Daphnia pulex: one gene and its partner. The main gene of each other region encodes a partner of the protein of the gene in region 2 in a complex. Links are inferred from orthologs where the notes say so. Each region holds a gene or a part of one and is shown on either strand. Other genes may lie near its edges.

Region 1 (11,962 bases), on a different chromosome or scaffold from region 2:
CTTCATACATGTACTGTAGCCTGTAGGTTTATTCTCATCTACAGTTTTCTTATCACATACTTGCGTAATCTCAAAGGAGGCCGTAGATTGCACACTACTCAAAGCCAAAGTTAAAACTGTCTTTAGTAGATTGAAAAATATGCAGCAAATTCTAAACCAACACCAATTGGATAATAAATAATAATATCAATCATTAATTTTAAAAAATAGGTTTCAACATGTGGTTATAATCTTCGTCTAGTTTCGTCAAATATTTTGTGTTGATGTTTCTGAAGATTTTTAACGTTAAAACAAACCTCATGGACATTGCACAACGGCAATAGCTATAAATGTTCAGATAGAAACGTTTAAAGCTTAAAGTATGTTTTATTACATGTATAATCCATTTAAGATAAAAACCTGACATAAAAACGGGCAAGAATCATACTCCGGATCCAACGCTCGGCTCTGAAATGGCTATATATTGAAACACCAAATTGTGACCAGAGCCAGTTAGATTAAGACGGAAAGAATGAAAATGATTCGTTTCTCTATCCCCGTGTTATTAATTTTATGTTGCTCTATTATTTGTTTTTCTTTCGGTACTGTTGATGCTCAAGGCGACTCAGGCAAGACGGCCAAGTCAGAAGTCAAGACGGAGAAGCCAGGAGACAAGCAAGTAGGTAAGACAGCAGGTAAGCCAGGAGACAAGTCGGCCAATAAACTAGGCCTAGTCAACAAGCCGCGTAAGCCCAACAAAATCAAGAAAGCCGAGCCAGCTAAGTCGACCAAGCCAGACGATGTTCAGACTAAAATTGGAGAACTTGAAAATCTGGTAAAGAAACTGAAGAATCAACTCGACAACAGTGTACGTTTAATCTCTATATACTTAGCTTCACCCTTTTTCTTTTAACCTTTTCGTGGCTAACTATAATGGATAGATTAATTTGATCATTTATTTTTTGGGGAATAAAACAAAACATGCGTCTATTTCTACAACAGAATGCAAAACAACAAGATTTGTTGAAGAACGTAGCGGAACTGGAGACCAAAGTGAAAACACTCGAAAAGATTTTACCTTCCATATTTGATCAGATCGCGCGTAAAATACCAGATATTCCCATGGGTGAGATCCGCAGAACGTGCGCAGAAATCCGTGCAATGGATGTTTCGATTCCATCCGGAATGCAATGGATCGATCCGGACGGACAAGGCGTCGGCGAAACTCCAATTTACGTGTACTGCGACATGACAACAGGTAAAATGAATTTGTGTTTCCTTCGCTAATTGAAACAAAAAAAGACATTCACTTTTCTTTACTTAAAAATAAGGATCGACCACAATTAAACACGATAGTCTCGCTCCTATCAACGTGGATCACTGCGCAGGGGCCGGATGTTATTCGCGTTCCATCAAATATGAAGCGTCCATGGCACAAATAAAAGCTTTGACCGATTTGTCTAGTGAATGCCGTCAGTCGATCACAGTAAGTTTCGTTGGTATCTGAATACCGTAGCTATCCTGTTAAGGGAATTTATCATAATTTTTAATGTATCCCAGTACGATTGCTTCAACGCGCCGCACAAATTGGAAAATACCATGTACTCCTGGTGGAACGACAGAAATGGGAATTCACAATATTTCTGGGCCGGAAACAACGCATATGGAATTCCCACCTGTCAGTGTGGAATTGATGGGAATTGTGCCGTTTCTTCAGTCATGTGCAACTGTGACAGTCTCGCACAACGGCAGTTATCCGACAAAGGTAAATCAGTCATGTCATCAGAAAATTTTAAAAATAATATGTCTCAAAAACATTTTGATTCGTTCAGGTGTTATCACTGACAAAAATATTTTACCAATCACTCGCCTTCATTTTGGTCGAACTCAATCGCAATCTTCCTCCGGTATCCACACACTGGGCAATTTGACATGCTCCGGATATTCCAGACAGCCAGAACCCTCGACAAAACCTGCAGAAATCGCTACTCCAATGCCAACGTCCTGTGATGATCTAAAGGATATGGGTTACACCCTGAGCGGTTTCTTTTCCATCAAAGGACATAAAATGATGGAATCTGTTTATTGTGATTTCACCGATTTTTTCAAGATCCCGGTAAAATATTTGTTTTGCATTAATTATTTATTCAATTTAAAACTGATTTATTACGAAAAGGTTTCGAGAAATTTATTGGATACATTGACGTCAAATCGGTGCCAACATATTTTTACGTTCAGAGAAACCAAAAATTCAACAAGCCCAACACCCCAATTACGTTTGATTTTGAGCAAGTAAACGTCGGAAAGGCCATGAACCCATCAGGAAAATTCAAGGCATCCGTCAAGGGAACTTATTTCTTCTCCTTCGCGGGACTGGCGTTTTTTCCTGCTTGCTCTGATTCTTGCTTATCATCGTATAGTGTGAAAAATGAATTCGGTTTACAAGTCTCTCTTTTTTTGAACGGCAATCGAATTGGACTCGCGTCGGTTCAAGATTCCATTTTCGTCTCCGCTAATCAATGGAGCCCTGTGACCCTCCAGTCGACTCTAAACTTACAAAAAGGAGATACAGTCTGGTTAGAAATTTCTTACCTTTCGTCAGGAGCGTATTTGCACGATGACAATTTCCACCACACCCATTTCACTGGTTTCATGTTGGAGGAGGAAATCGTCGACTCCCTTTGAACTGTAAATGAATTTGTGTAGTAAAGAAATTTAATTGTTTTTTAGAAATAAACAAAATGAAGTTAGGTTGAAATGCATTTTTTCTACATACAGTTGTACATAATTGAATACCATCTCGAGAGGATGAGAATGTTTCAGGGGTTTTGTGTTTAATACTGGGTAATACTTAACGTATCTATTACCGTAATAGATACGTTTATCACGTAGACCCAAACTTCGTATTGGGTTAGCTAAAAAAATCTCTTTCGGAGGTTTGGTAGTCAGTTCAGAGAACTTAACCAAATTAGACTGAAATGGTTCAACTTTTGTGGCAATCGAGACTATATTTAATCTGTCCGCTTGGTTAACTTTACTCAGTGGTCAACATTTTATTTTTAAAAGGATCGGGAACTAGTTTGATGTAGGGAATATGGAAGTTTCTACTTCGGTCTTCAAACATTTCATCCACATGTAGTCGACTAGTCGAGAAAGGCGATTATAAAGAAACGAAATTACATTGTATTATAACGGAGAACGCAGCTACAACGGACGCCTTTATAATAACGTTTTTATGACACTATAATGTGATACACCCACTTCAATCGCTGTCAGCCACATCGCTGGACTCTGGTTCACTTTCCATTTCTTCTTCCTCGCTTTCTTCTTTTTCAACCTTTTTCTTGTCAGTCTTCTTGCTGGAGCCCTTGGACTTCTTCTTGGCGCCTTCAGACGCTGAGGAGGATTCTTCGTCGGTGCTGATGTATTCCTTACTTTTGAAGTCGCCAGGAGATTTAACTGGAGTTGTTTTAGCAGCTTTGGTTGGCGTTTTAGTTGGCGTTTTGGTTGACGACTTGCTAGAGGACTTGGACGACTTGGCGGCTTTCTCCTCTTTGTCCTTGCTTTTGGAAGAACTGCTAGCAACTGCCGATCCTCCTCCAGACGCAGTATATTCTTTCATAGCCTTATCATAGGCCTCTTTAGCAACTTTAGCTTTGGCTTCCCATATAGATCGATCTTCAACCTTCTGCCACATTTCGCCACCTTTTTTCATCAGATCTGTGACACTTATGCCAGGGTTATCTTTTTTAATCTGTTCGCGTGAGTCGTTCAACCACAGCATGTACGACGACTGTGGTCGTTTGGGCCTGTTTGCATCCTTATCCTTCTTGGATTTGTGCGATCTGGGAGTTTTAGGGGCCTACAACAAAATTAATAAACGATAAAAACTTTAATTCTGAAATTATTGGCAAATTGAAAGATGATATTACCGCCGATTTCGAGCTACTGGATTTCTTGGGTTCCTTTTCCTTTTTCTCCTTCTCCTCTTTTTTGTCCTTCTTTTTCTTCTTTTTGGACGAGGAATCGGAATCACTGCCAGAACCACTGCCAGCCTTGGCAGCACTACTAGCCTTCGCAGCACTACTAGCCTTGGCTCCACCTGATGCGTCGGATGCTTCCGAGTCGGTCGTAGCCACATTGGAGTCGTATTCTTCTGCTACGTCACTTTCCTCACCAGGTTTGAAGTCTTCGTCATTTTCATCAGAATCTCCACCCGAATCGTCACCTGCAACTGGCACATGTTAGTGGAAAGGCTTTTGTTTCGTTAAGCAAGGAAAACGTACCAACTGCGTCACGCTGTTTGCCTTCAGCCTTGACACGAGCCAAATATGCGTCGGGCGCTTCCTCTTCGTCCGAATCGCCAAAATCATCCCCATGAGCGGACTTGTCCTATTACGTACAACAAAAACTGATTAGTACAAACACTATCAATGGGTTGCTAGATCTTACGGATCGGCCAGTATTTTTGACGCGGAGCTTCTTGTTGTTTACGAAATCGTACAAGCGGTTATATTCCTCCTTTTCAATGCTACTGAAGGTGTGAACAACCCCATTTTTGGTCTCAACTTCGAAGTCAAAAGAACGGGTACTTCCTCCGCCACGAGCAAAGTTAACACTTGCAATTTCTTCGAATCTGTGCGAAGGAAGAATAAATTAAAAAATATGCAAACAAAAATTTCAGGGAAACGAATTCTACCGAATGTGAATAGGAGGTTTATGAACGTAAATAAAACCACGTTCTAGCGGATACAAGTATCCGGCTGCTGCTTTGTAGGAACATCCAACAGCGGGGGTTCCAGAATGGCTATAAATAATTAAAAAAGAAGGAAACTGTGAAATCAGTCTAGAACACTTGAAATGAAAATATAAAATTTTACCCAGTAAAATTTCCAGGTATAGTGACCTTTCGGTTAACCATGGCCTTCATGACGGTACTCATAACTTCATAAGTTGGACCATTACAATCACGAGAAAGTCGGCCTTCAAACTTTTCTTTCAATTCCTCCCTGTTAGGACAAACGTTTTTTGATGACGTGTTGAAAATGTTGAATTATTCAAAATTACTCACTCTGATAATGGTATTTCAAAAGATGTCTCCTCATCTTTGTTAAAGAGAAGGACCAAAAAGTGGTAACGCGTCTGACCTTGCTTAATAGGTGGATCAAGGCTTACCTGAATTACACAATAAAAATATGTAGATTAATGATGATTCTTTTCTTAATTTCTTTTTCAGAGATGTGTAACTTACTACAAAGAAAATTTGCCGACCATCTTTGTGCGGAAGTAAAAACAGGCGAAGTACAGTAGAGGCTGGAATCTTGTAGTCAAATGTCTTACCATGAAGTTGAAAGAATGATTGGAAAACTTTGATGTCATAGCGACCTCTGTCAAGGATAAAAACTAAATGAGCAAATGTTTTAAGTACAAATGATAGAAAATACCTTGGTGTGAGGCACTGAACTTCTCTGAAGATGGCAATTGCATCACCAGTAGCACTGATGACACTTGCTTTAGGCATCACCTGCTTCTGGAATGCTTCAACAGCATCATCTCCACCTTGATCATTGGACTGAATGAAGAGACGCATCTCCATCAGACTGACTGATGCATCATCATTCTAGTTTTAGAGAAAATAAAGCAGTAGGTAAGATGTCTGCAGCATTGTTTGTCATAATAGTACCCACCTGATGGAATTCTAAGGTGACTTCATTTTTCCCTGTTGTGCATTGGGACACATTGCTTAGAGGAATCTCAAAGGCAGTATGGTTTCCAACTTCAAAAGACATAGTTGAACCACTGAACTCAGCACGGCCCCAATTCCATCCTTTGACACTCAGCTCTTTCTCCAGCATGTCTTTTTTGTAGGTTTGAGTAAAAAACTTTGCCAGCTTGTCTTGATCCTAGACAAAACCAAATTAATAGGAAATTGAAAATAAAAAAGCTTTCAAATGTTAAAAAATTACTTACTGAATCTTTAAATCCACCATAGCGATGAAGTGCTCCGGTTCTGAGAAATACACGTAGTCCCCAAGCACCAGCTAGTCGCTGCCAGTTAACCAATTCAATGTCAGAAGAACTTATCTGTTCAACTTTACCCGTTTTGGAATTCTTGAACACGATACTCTGATCCGTTAGTTTTAGACGGCCTGGAGTCTAGAAGAAAAAATTTTGTCAATAGAAGAAGATTCACGTGCAGCCGATATGACAATTTAGCGAGCCTCTTACCATTGAGCCTTTAATTTCAGCTGAAACATCAGAGAACTCTAAAAAATCCATCACACAACGAAAAAATTGTAATCCCGATTGGCGAAATGAATAAAAATCCAACTAGACGAGCTGGAAAGCAAGAGAATAATCGTAACAATGTAAAACACCAGCAGTCGGTTATTTTACTTCGCGCCGAGCGGAGAAGTATAAGGAATGGCCATAAAGCGTTGCCAGTGAAACTCGTTTGGGCAACGCTAGATTTTAAAGATATTTGATACCGTATTTGAACATTTGAAATAAATCATAGTTTAATAGAAAAATTATTTTTAAGTAGAAATTTAAACTGGGGAAGAGGATTTTTCGTTGATTGGATTGGATAGGATTTCAGGATTGTGGAATGTGGATTCTACAATGTTGAGACTCCAGATGGCACTCACTACCATAGATTTTCTAGAGCTTTACATGATCAAAAGATCAAAAAGTGGTCAAGAGGGATCGACCGTATTCTTCTAGTGTTATCCGAAGTACTGTCAGCCGCAAGGCGGATTGTCAAGTTGCATTTACTATTGTAGAAAATAGTATATCCACGTGTTAAAAAATTGGAATTTGGATCTGAATGTTTTCTCGCTGGCCCTCTCAAATTAGTTGACTATATTTTTAAGATTTAAAATGGTTTTCTATTTCGTCAGCACCGCCGTTCAACCCAGTTGCGCACTTTTCATGGGAGAAGAAAAACATGAAAGTAAGAAGTAATCAATCAGTAAGATATAAAATGGGATTATTAATCCTTGTAGTAACAACTAGATGAGGAGTTGATCAAGTGGGGATGGCCTGAAGATGTTTGGTTCCACGTTGACAAGCTATCGTCAGCCCATGTTTACATACGACTAAACAAGGTAAGGGTTTTTTTTATTAAATCAAATAAAACAATTTTTAATACAGCTCTGTTACTATTCTTATTTGTAGGGTCAAGTAATTGATGATATTCCAGCAGCCATTTTAGAAGATGCAGCACAATTATGTAAAGCGAACAGCATCCAAGGGAATAAAATGAACAACATTGATGTTGTTTACACCCTGTGGTCTAATTTGAAAAAGACTCCTGGTATGGAAGTTGGACAAGTTGGATTTCACAAAGAAAAAGATGTACAGATTTCCTTCTTAATGTGTTCCTATCCATTATCTAACAATCAAGTTTTATAGGTTCGCAAGATTAGGGTGGAGAAAAGAATTAATGAAATTGTAAACCGTCTCAACAAAACCAAAGTTGAGAAAAAACCTGATTTAAGGTTTGAAAGAGAACAGAGAGACTGTGCAGAAAGAGACGACAAGAAAAGGCTCCTTAAAGAACAAAAAGAAAGGGAGAGAGAAGAAGAAAAGCGAAAAAAGGATGAAGCTGAACTAAGGTGACCTTGATTTACTAAACACTATATTTATTTTTTTACACAGAAATGTTAATTTTTACATGTTTAGGAGCTACGATCGCTTGCTGAAGCAAACGAACATGAAGACCAATAAAGATGATGATGGAAACGATTCCGATGACTTCATGTAAGAAATCGCTTACGTTAACAACCAGCCGAGTGTATGCGAACTCGATCACAAACCGATCAGCCTTTTCGTATGAAGTATATGTGCTATTAAAATATTCCTCGCACTTGACTCGAGTTTTCTCTTGGTCAATAAAAATGTGGAAATAAAACATAATTTCTTAATATATTTTAATATAGGGAGATTATAAGTATAGCTATGATTAATTCCAGATGACCAATTTTCAGATCTTGACATTTTGTTTACATTAGCCAAAGGTTATGATGACGAGCAGATCTCTCTAAGTCATCAAATGCCCATCGATAGTTATTGTTTACCACTGAAATATTGTTTCGAAACCACACTGAGCACCAGAGTCGCGCAACACAGGAAGTGATTCTCACCCCCAAAAAGATTGGCAACTTCCGTCTGAAAGCGGAAGAAAATGGGTGTAAACCAAGACTTCTGGTTTTCATTCAGGAAATCAAACAGAAATTTTTATTTAATTTTATTAGTCGGAAGCGAAACCAGGATCTCTAAGGAATACGGATTTCCTCTCACATTTATTTCCTTCCTACTGCGACGTCAGAATCTGTTGGACGGGTAGTTGACCTCAAAAGTGAAACCGAGACATCAAGTTTAAAACGTTCGAGACGGAATTCAGTCTTCAAGTGGATACCGTCGTGTATGCTGAGTGCTTTCGTCCACTCCGTCTCGACTAGAGTAGAGCGCAATGCCGAATTCCGTGTTAACGTTCAAGTCTCTGCTGATGTTTTGGCTGATGTGTTCTATGGGCTCTGACTGCGCCCCAGTACTTTCTAAACCAATTAACGCCACTAGAAAAATTCCCCAGTCTTCTAGCCTAAAAGCAGCTGCTCCAGCCGTCGTCACCACCGCCCAGCCTCCGCTTTCATCCCTGTCCGTGAGCACCAAACCATCAGCGTCAATCCATCCTCAAAACTTGTCCTCTCCGGAATCGATTCGGAACGTTTCACCCACGGAAAATCATAACGTTGCATCCCCAAGAAATGTTGAAGGAGCGACTGTAAACGTAGTTGTAAGTGTCCCGTTCGTTTTATTATGTAACCAACAAAACAATCGAAAAATTTAAAGTTCGTATTTAATCTTAATCCTTTCATTTTTTGGTAAGATGGGGTTTCTGCAAAAATTTGGTTACCTAGAAGGCCGCCAGGATTCCAACTCGGAAGCCTTGTACAGAGAAGAAGCCGTGATTGATGCAATCAGAACCATGCAGAGTTTCGGGGGTCTCTCGCCAACTGGAAGGATGGACAACGACACCTTACAAGTAAATTTGTTGCCCTCTGAAACCGTTCGTGAACTTGTTTCCCGTTCATTTTCCGCTTAACGAAAATTTGGTAACATTGTAATCTGAACCTATCATTAACGTAATAAAGCTGCTGGTGACTCCTCGTTGCGGTAACAAAGACGTGGAATTGGATAATAGCGAACAGCAGTCAAACAGACGGCGAAGGAAAAGGTTCGTGGTCGGCGCACCCGGTTGGAACAAACGAAGAATCACTTACTTGTAAGAATGTTTTAAGAGCTAATCAACCAAGCCTTTTTGCAACTGTTAATCATTTATTCATTTCCCTTGCGTTTCGAAAGTTTAGCTAACTGGTCGCCCAAAGTAGGCGATGAAGAAACGACAATTCAACAACTTGAAAGAGGTAAATTTGTTTCTTGTGACTTTATCATTTTCGGGATTATTTTAATTTGATCTTTTTAGCCTTCAAGGTATGGTCGGATTATGCCCATCTCAAGTTTGTGCAAGTACCAACTCCAGACGCGGACATCACTATCCTTTTCGGTCGCGGATACCATGGCGATAGGTTATAGATTTCACCTATAAAATGTGTTCAAGTTATTTCAATTGAATTAAACCAAAAAATTGCAGGTATCCTTTCGACGGTGTTGGTTACACCTTAGCCCATGCTTACTACCCTTATGAATTTGACAATTTCGGTGGCGACGTTCATTTCGATGAAGACGAGCCGTGGACCGTTAACCCGGACGAGGGTTCCGGTTAGTCCCTTCTTATAAAACTTCCAGTCTAAATTTGTGTTATTCAATTTTCTTTTTCGTTTTAAATATTTCATAAGGAATTGACTTTTTCACCGTGGCAACGCACGAACTAGGGCATTCCCTAGGACTAGCACATTCCCCCGTGCCGGGCTCCGTCATGTTTCCCTACTACAAAGGATCGCAACCGAATCTTCAATTGGATTACGATGACATTCTAGCAATGTATCAGCTCTACAGTAAGGAAATTTGCCACTCACAATTCATCGATCAATTGAAAATTGTTTTCATTAAATTATATAGTTTCGAGGCAAGTGCACGACGATCGGAATGAAGATGTTACAACGACGACAACCACCACTACCACCACAACGCCGAAACCCCAAACTACCACCGAGAAGGTGTCGACCATCACGACGACGCAGCCCAGGCCTACAAGACCCACGTCTAGGACGACAACGCCCTACGATGATTACGAAGACTACAACGAGGTTGACGACGATCACAGTTCGAAAAGCGGAAGCGGGAAAACGGAAGCGACGACCGTTTTTGTAAGGGACGAAGAGATTACGACGACGACGACGACCGAGAGAACGGTGACGATCAATTACGAGGGCGACTACGAAACGGTGGATGACCATCGCAGGAAGTTGAACGCCACAAACGAAGATCAATCACCCAGGATTCCGGATATTTGCCAGGGCCACTTTGACGCCGTTTCCGTCCTCCGCAACGAGCTGTTCTTCTTCAAGGGTCAAGTAAGTATATACCGGACACTTCTCTATTTGAATAGTTATACCCCCCAGCAGCTATATTTCTGTGCAAATTGGAAATGTGATTCCTTTGGCTCGCAGTACGTTTGGCGACTCCGTCAAAGAGCTGCAATAGACGATGGATATCCAACCCACATCCGCCATCTCTTTCGCGAACTTCCAGAATCCTTGCCCAAAGTGGACGCACTGTACGAGCGTCCTAATGGACACATTGTCTTCTTTTCCGGTATATATTAATAAAATTTAATTTGATTGGCCATCCGGTAGAGATTGTATACACATTTAATTAATTATTTTTAAAAATATTCAATAGGTTCAAGTTATTGGGTATTTGACGGTGACCGGATGGTGGAAGAGAATTCGAATTTGAGCTGGCTCGGACTACCGGACGGACTAGACCATCTAGACGCCGCTTTCGTTTGGGGCAAGAATAAAAAGACTTACTTCTTTAGGTATTTTTTATCTTTTTGACGTACGAGAAGAATAATCGAGGCCGTGGCGTCGATTAGAAAACTTTGAAAAATAACTTAGGTTAATTCTTTCTCCGATTGTTTTTTTTTTTTTTAGAAAGAATCTTTACTGGCGCTACGACGACGTTAAAAGACAAATGGATCCCGGCTATCCGCACGATCTGTCCAGGTGGAGAGGTGTAACGTCCGATATAGACGCAGCCATGCAGTGGACTGATGGTAATTCAATTCATTCTTTAAATGCTTAAACTTCCCTTAAATTTTAATTATATCTTTGTGTTGTAAACTTGTAAGGGCGAACGTATTTCTTCAAAAACAAAATGTTTTGGCGGTTCGACGACACTCTGGTACGCACTGACATGCGCTACCCTCAAGAAGCCACACCTTTCTGGCTGGGATGTCCGGAATAATTTCCATTTTAAAAATTCCCCATTTATTAAAAATCTAATGATAAGATATACGACCTCTAACATTTTATACATACATCCATAGTACTTATTTGTTTGTTGGTTTGTTTCTCTATTTCATATTTTGAGAGAAAAAAAAATGCTACTACTTTTGTATGTTATACGCCGCCGCTTTCGTATCAGACGGAATGATTAAACGGAAATGTACGCTGATTGGAATGTTTTGAAATTTCTGCCGATTCGACAAGATTATCCCCCTTTTGCTTTTAGAAGGTTGTCTCATCGACAGGGTTGGGTAGAGTCACTTTCAGTCGAGGGTCGGCCGCCATGGCTCGCTGGATAGCCTGGATGGCGTTCGCATTTCCGGACCAGCTCCTAAAAAACAGTTGAATTCAGTTAATCCTGGTGGTTTATTTTCATTCCAGCAGGGTGAATAAATTAGGTGAAAGTTGTTAACCTTCTAGCGACTCCGTTCGATACGTCCCAATTGAGCATATTCTTGGCTCGTTCGTGAGCCTCGTCCGATCCGTCAAGAACAAGCCCAAATCCGCCT
Region 2 (5,721 bases):
AAACGTCGAAGAAAGCAACGTTATTGAAGATTGTAACGGTAAAACACTTGCAATCACTATACCTTTTAGATGGAGGTGGGGGTGCAGCACCTTTTCCCCCACGGCTTCTTGAGTATTCATCCTCAAAATTGACGTTCTCTCTATCGGCTTCGGCAGCTTCACGTTCAAGATCAGACCAGTCTTTACCCGACTCGTCGGAGCTACCGCCACCACCTTCTTCACTGCCCGAGTCACTATCGTCTGACATATCAGACGAATCTGCTTCTGAATATTCGCTGTCAGATTCATCATCCTCTTCATCATCGACGTCGGTCGGAGCGTATTCATCTTCCTCAGAGTCTTCCTCGTCAGATCCCCTTCCACCTTCACTGCCCGATTCGGGGTCAAGGAAAGTCCATCCTCCGGTATCAAAAAAAGCTTCTGGATCATCCGTAATCGTTTTCATAATTTTTGACCAGTTCAAGGATTGAACTCCCTCTGTATAACGAATATCGCACGAACTAAACAGAGATGAACAATAAAGAATCAACAGGACATTACACAAAGATGTCTGAATTTCTTTACTTGAGCCACTCCTTGACATGATCGAGCATGTTCATCGGTACGGCATTCACCATGGCCACTTTTCGATGATAATTTTTGAAAACGAAGACCATATCGAAGTTCTTCAAATGGAACTGAACACGTTCGAAATGGACAAGTTCCATGTCTTCCAGTGAAATGACGAAAGGAGGCTAAACAAATGAAATCATTGTTAATATTACCATTATAATTATAAAAAATTGTCAACCTACCCATTCTACTAAGTTTACGAGACATCCTGAAGTGGGTTGAAGGAGAACTGTACTGCGGAAAGGTACACCAGGGAAACCAAGTTCACGGAAAGGAGCATCAAATTCAACCTCGTTCCTAGTCATGGTTTCAACCTTAATTTTTTTGGAATTCGTTAAAAAAGGATCACAGACAATTAGAATTTCATTTAACAAGACCGTACCTTCTCACAGAATGTTTTGAAAGCAGTTTTCAATTTATGTCTTAACTCTCGTTCGGCCTGTTCTGCAGCCAGATCGTCGCGGTCGTGCATGTGTTGATGTTTGCCAAGATCAGTAGTGATTTCACCTACTTCGGTGTAAAACTGGACATCATTGTGCTTTTTCTTTCCAAACATGATGGCATTCTGAAATGTAAAGTGATAGTTTTGATATATATCGTTGGTTATATACTATGCCTAGTAATGTAGAAAAACTGAAAGGAAAAAACATACCTTGAGATGAAAGTGCAGAAGAATAATCATCTCACCATCACACGGTTGAAAGATAGCATGTCGAATATTATTGTAGAGGATGTCTACTTTATCTCCTCTTACGGATGTGTAACGAAATCCATTAGTATGCGCCTCCAGTGAACCCAAAATTCTTTTCTGAGCTACATTTGGTCTGATGTAGAGATCCTTTAATTTAGGATTGGCTTTGTTTTGAGAAAGAAGCAGGGTGTCTTGCTTAACCAAATCTTCCTTTTCTTTTTCCTCAGCTTCACGTGTTTTAAATCGCTTTTGCACTTCTTTGATTAAACGGAACGCCGTGTTAAGATTTGAAGAGGGAGATGACAGTTCTCCAGGTTCTTTGATGTTGGTGCTTCGGTATGTACTAAACGTTCATTTAAAAAATGTAATATTATATAAATGAAAAGAAACAAAAATGAAACTTTTCTTGATAATACATTTCTTTGAGGAATGTGGCTTCAGGGTTTGGAAACGCAGCTGTTTCAGCTCTACCCATGGTTGCACCCGGGTGGAAAAAGTTTATACGCAAGTAAGTATAGTCTCCTTCGACACTTTGACTGATGTTCTTTATAGTCGAAATGTGAAAAGGAACTGGAATTCCGTAAATGGGCATGATGACCGTTTCGTACTTTCGATCTACAATATTAAATGTGGAATTATTCATTCTTTGTAGCACATATTTGAGAGCACACATTCAAAAATATTTGAGAAATTATGGGCTTACCAACATATAACTTCAATTCCTTCACTTCATCTTCTTTTGGCAAATCTTTCCCGGATTTGTATGACACGGTAGATTTCCGGATCTTATCGCCTTCCAAGCGTCCCTAAAACCAAATCAGATTTTAATGTTATTCTTTTGCACATTTATTTTCTTTTTGTCTTCTTTACCTTCTGCTGAGCAAGCCGAAGTTTGGCTTCTTCATTTAGATGAGAAGCCAATTCTTTTTGATGTTGCTTACGTTTTTCTTCGGTAGATGTTTCCTGAAAGAAACACAAATTATAAATTATAACAATGGAAAATGATAAGAAGAAAAGTACTATGTACCCGAAGTTTAGAATCAAGAATAGCGGTCCGCTTGCCTCGACCTAAATTCTGGGGCTGTCGTGATGGCTTTTCTTCGTCCTCTTCCTCCTCCTCTTCTTCCTCTCCAGATTCATCTTTAAGGAATATACCGATATTCTTAATCCTTTTTTTCGAAGCAGTAAGTATAGTAGCTGGACCCTAAAAATAATGTTACTCGTCAAAAAAACAAGTAGAAGAAAAAGTTCAAAATTATAACTTACATCGGATACAATAACAGTGTCGCTCAAAAACAAAGCCTAATATTTTAAAAATAAAATAATATATATTTAAATAAACAAATAAATAAATAAATATTATTAATTTATATAAATACATATTTCTTATAGCGATCATCGGTGCCATCAGAATTTTCCAAGTCAGCAAATCCAAGATTGACATTGAAGACCATTCCTTTTTTGACAACTGCGTTATTCTTCGGGCCGATCACCAAAGAGCTTTCTCGAAATTCAATTCCGGTAACAAAGCCAAGGGTTTTTGTCATCTTGTCAAGAAGGGCTGGTTTTTCTTTCTTTACGTATGCCTCAGCAGCATTATAAACATCGCTAAACTTTGCTCCTTCGACGAGAGATTTCAAAATTTCGTCTTCAACCGATAACAAGAAGTTGTATGTCTCCTACAAGTTCATAAGAATGTAATCTAGACTCATTTATGGAAATATCTTTTTCTTTACCTGCATCTTTTCAGTGGGGTTGACAAGAAGGGTTCGACCAATATTGGAGCAGTAAGATTTGTAACGTGCTCCTAAAAGACAAACAATTGCTCCAAAATGAAGGGGTTTATCATCACTGTGAAATAAAAAGAAGCATTAATGTATTCACATAAAGTTTGCTAATTGATAGATGTACCTCACTGCACTAAATTTCAGGCTGTAATTCCCTCCACTTTGAATTATGGCTGGATAACACATATCAACTTGACCCGTATCGACACCAGAAACATATTTCTTGTCAGTGGCTGCGTTCTCCACTCCTTCGGCTAATTTTGAATGTTTGACCTTGACAAATAAATTCAAATTAAGTCCCATTGAAAAAAAAATAATAAATTTTTCAAACCTTTTTATCTGCATCTACAATTTCCATAACCTGTTCTTTTAAATATTTGTTGAATAAATCAACAGATACTTGACATGCTTTCTTGATCACATTCAGTTCAGATTCTTCTTTAGGAGCCATCATATAAGCTGCCCCAGAACTAACATCAACTGTCCTGAAAATATGATTTCACACATTGTTATCTATATATTTCTAATAACACTTTCTAATGTTTCTTACTCAAATTTTTCTTTCTTGATGGCATTGTTCCATGCATCCATGAACTCTCCATGAAAACTGTCTTTTGAGAACACTCCAAGCTTTTTTCCTTTTTTAGATTTTTTCAATGCTTCAATAAGTTTCACAAAATTGGCTTTATCTTTGTCGCTCTAAAAAAATAGAAAAATTTCTTTGTTGAAGTTCCATGTTTCTAACATGGAAAATATGTATCATGATTTACTTTGTCACGAATCAACAGCTTAACAGCGGGCAAGCCTTTCTCTTCTTTAATTGCCTCCAGCGGGCGTAAGAAATCTATCTTCTTCTTACTTGCAAGGAAATAGATGGAATCTTCACACAGAGCCATAACTGTATCAGTCAATTCATATCCAAGAAGCCATGATTGTAAAGCAGATGTTTTGCTGTACACAACTTCCTCATCCGCCCCCAAAGCTGTGACCAATGCATCCATATCAGCAAACCCAAGTTCAGAGTCTTCATTCTATAAGATATTATATCATTGCATGAAATGAAATCCAACTGTCATGGTTGTTTGACGCCAACTTACCTTCCAAGACGAATAGAATCGCTTTATCCTTCGAAAGAACACCTCTCTATCTGCAGCGAGACTTCCCATTTTCAGTAACAAATGGGATCATCCAAGTCGAATGGGAAACTGCAATATTTCAACTTGAAACTACGAATCTGGAATGGCGAAATTGTACTGAGGTTCGTTACAAAAAACTGCCAGACCGTTTACCCAACGCAACCCATGCTTTTCCCTCTAAAAAGCAGAATGAAGTTCATAAAGACCTGGGCGTTGCCAACTATGATTTTAATAATAATATTATCCATTGATTTTTCAGAAATATCAGAGCAATAGATACCTGGTCGGTTCTCGGCCGTGTTGGCTTCCCCATCTCGATTTTAGGGTAAACGTGGTCCGATTTTCAGGGGGTTTTAGGGCGGGGCCTGTCATTGGAAACTAGAAACAGAGCCATCTAGGCTCTCAAAAGTAGCTGAGCGTAGTAGCTGACACACTCACTAGAGCGCTCATTCCAGTTTCCAAATCGGACCACGTTTACCCTGAAACCGGGATAGGGAAGCCAACACAGCCGAGAACCGACCAGGGATTCTATAGCTCTGGAAATATGCATATTTTTTTATTTTTTTTAAGATTTTTATGCTACAGGATATTTATGTCCTACTGCATGAATCTAAGTGAATACTTCGAATTCGAAATCATGACAAACAACTTGTTGCTTTTCGGAATTTGGCATCCTTACAGAATTGCAGACTACGCGAAAAGTCCATTCCCTCAGTCAGTGTCAATATTTTTACGTATGACTGAACTAAACAGTACAATCGGCCAGTGCACCTATCTTCAAAAAAAAACAAACAAACAAACAAACAGTACAATTCCCTAAAAATGGTTTCAGTACAAAAGTCCATCAAATGCATTTTTTGCCAGATTTGTGAAGGTCTGGCGCCAGCAACTATCGTTCATCAGGTTAAGGCTCTTCCTCTCTCATTTTTGACCAATTAAATTATGCGTTTTGTAGCAAATAGGTTTATTTTCTTCCAGGGAATCAATTAATCTAATGTAGACTAGCTATTACCTGAAAATCACAGTAAGAAATGGCTTAGATATATTAAAATAAGGTACTTAATAAGATAAAGATATACATTTCCTAATGCTGTATTTCCTTTCATAAATAGGATGTAAAATATTTGGCTTTTAATGACATCAAACCATCTGCTAAAAACCACCTTCTAGTCATTCCTAGAGATCACATCAATGATATTAAAAGTCTTACCATAGAAACAGTCAGCATGGGTAAATTGCCTGATTATCAATTCAAATAAACTTATCAATATTTTTTTATTAGTTGAAGAAATGGTAGCTGTAGGACAGCAACTTGTGAAGAATCATGGAGGAGACTTGAGTGATTGCAGGTATCATATGGATTCTTACCCTCATAAAAAATTGGTAGTAATGATTTCAACTAAATTGTAGAATGGGATTTCATTGGCCTCCTTTTAATTCTATTAAACATCTGCACCTACACGTGATATTTCCTGAGAGTGCTATGAGTTTTATA

Evidence for each region. Proteins that work in one complex are often made in the same cells at the same time.
Region 1: FACT complex subunit spt16-like (region 2) and FACT complex subunit Ssrp1-like share a complex: the UniProt entries of both Drosophila melanogaster proteins name them as parts of the FACT complex. The link is inferred for Daphnia pulex from reciprocal best matches to the Drosophila melanogaster genes dre4 and Ssrp.

The regions. Positions count from the first base shown.
Region 1 is NC_060026.1:11,625,426-11,637,387, forward strand, and holds FACT complex subunit Ssrp1-like, read right to left. Parts: upstream 6,427-11,962; 5' UTR 6,259-6,426; coding exon 6,208-6,258; intron 6,136-6,207; coding exon 5,950-6,135; intron 5,883-5,949; coding exon 5,667-5,882; intron 5,600-5,666; coding exon 5,424-5,599; intron 5,367-5,423; coding exon 5,231-5,366; intron 5,155-5,230; coding exon 5,051-5,154; intron 4,989-5,050; coding exon 4,860-4,988; intron 4,787-4,859; coding exon 4,679-4,786; intron 4,616-4,678; coding exon 4,432-4,615; intron 4,372-4,431; coding exon 4,266-4,371; intron 4,214-4,265; coding exon 3,912-4,213; intron 3,842-3,911; coding exon 3,242-3,841; 3' UTR 3,140-3,241; downstream 1-3,139. Other genes in the region: uncharacterized protein LOC124205820, read left to right, coding at 512-847, 982-1,237, 1,311-1,465, 1,540-1,744, 1,812-2,095, 2,156-2,275; coiled-coil domain-containing protein 25-like, read left to right, coding at 6,859-6,931, 6,994-7,085, 7,156-7,335, 7,393-7,595, 7,663-7,744; matrix metalloproteinase-2-like, read left to right, coding at 8,453-8,776, 8,870-9,025, 9,135-9,265, 9,346-9,407, 9,467-9,569, 9,635-9,762, 9,840-9,998, 10,063-10,517 and 4 more; urocanate hydratase-like, read right to left, coding at 11,676-11,784, 11,867-11,960. UniProt on the Drosophila melanogaster protein: Component of the FACT complex, a general chromatin factor that acts to reorganize nucleosomes. The FACT complex is involved in multiple processes that require DNA as a template such as mRNA elongation, DNA replication and DNA repair.
Region 2 is NC_060017.1:5,830,657-5,836,377, reverse strand, and holds the start of FACT complex subunit spt16-like, read right to left. Parts: upstream 4,515-5,721; 5' UTR 4,257-4,514; coding exon 4,188-4,256; intron 4,122-4,187; coding exon 3,861-4,121; intron 3,790-3,860; coding exon 3,641-3,789; intron 3,576-3,640; coding exon 3,422-3,575; intron 3,364-3,421; coding exon 3,215-3,363; intron 3,155-3,214; coding exon 3,040-3,154; intron 2,983-3,039; coding exon 2,683-2,982; intron 2,606-2,682; coding exon 2,570-2,605; intron 2,508-2,569; coding exon 2,331-2,507; intron 2,267-2,330; coding exon 2,174-2,266; intron 2,110-2,173; coding exon 2,007-2,109; intron 1,919-2,006; coding exon 1,720-1,918; intron 1,647-1,719; coding exon 1,265-1,646; intron 1,178-1,264; coding exon 995-1,177; intron 927-994; coding exon 795-926; intron 735-794; coding exon 565-734; intron 501-564; coding exon 63-500; intron 1-62. Other genes in the region: adenosine 5'-monophosphoramidase HINT3-like, read left to right, coding at 5,049-5,129, 5,339-5,456, 5,509-5,575, 5,637-5,721. UniProt on the Drosophila melanogaster protein: Component of the FACT complex, a general chromatin factor that acts to reorganize nucleosomes. The FACT complex is involved in multiple processes that require DNA as a template such as mRNA elongation, DNA replication and DNA repair.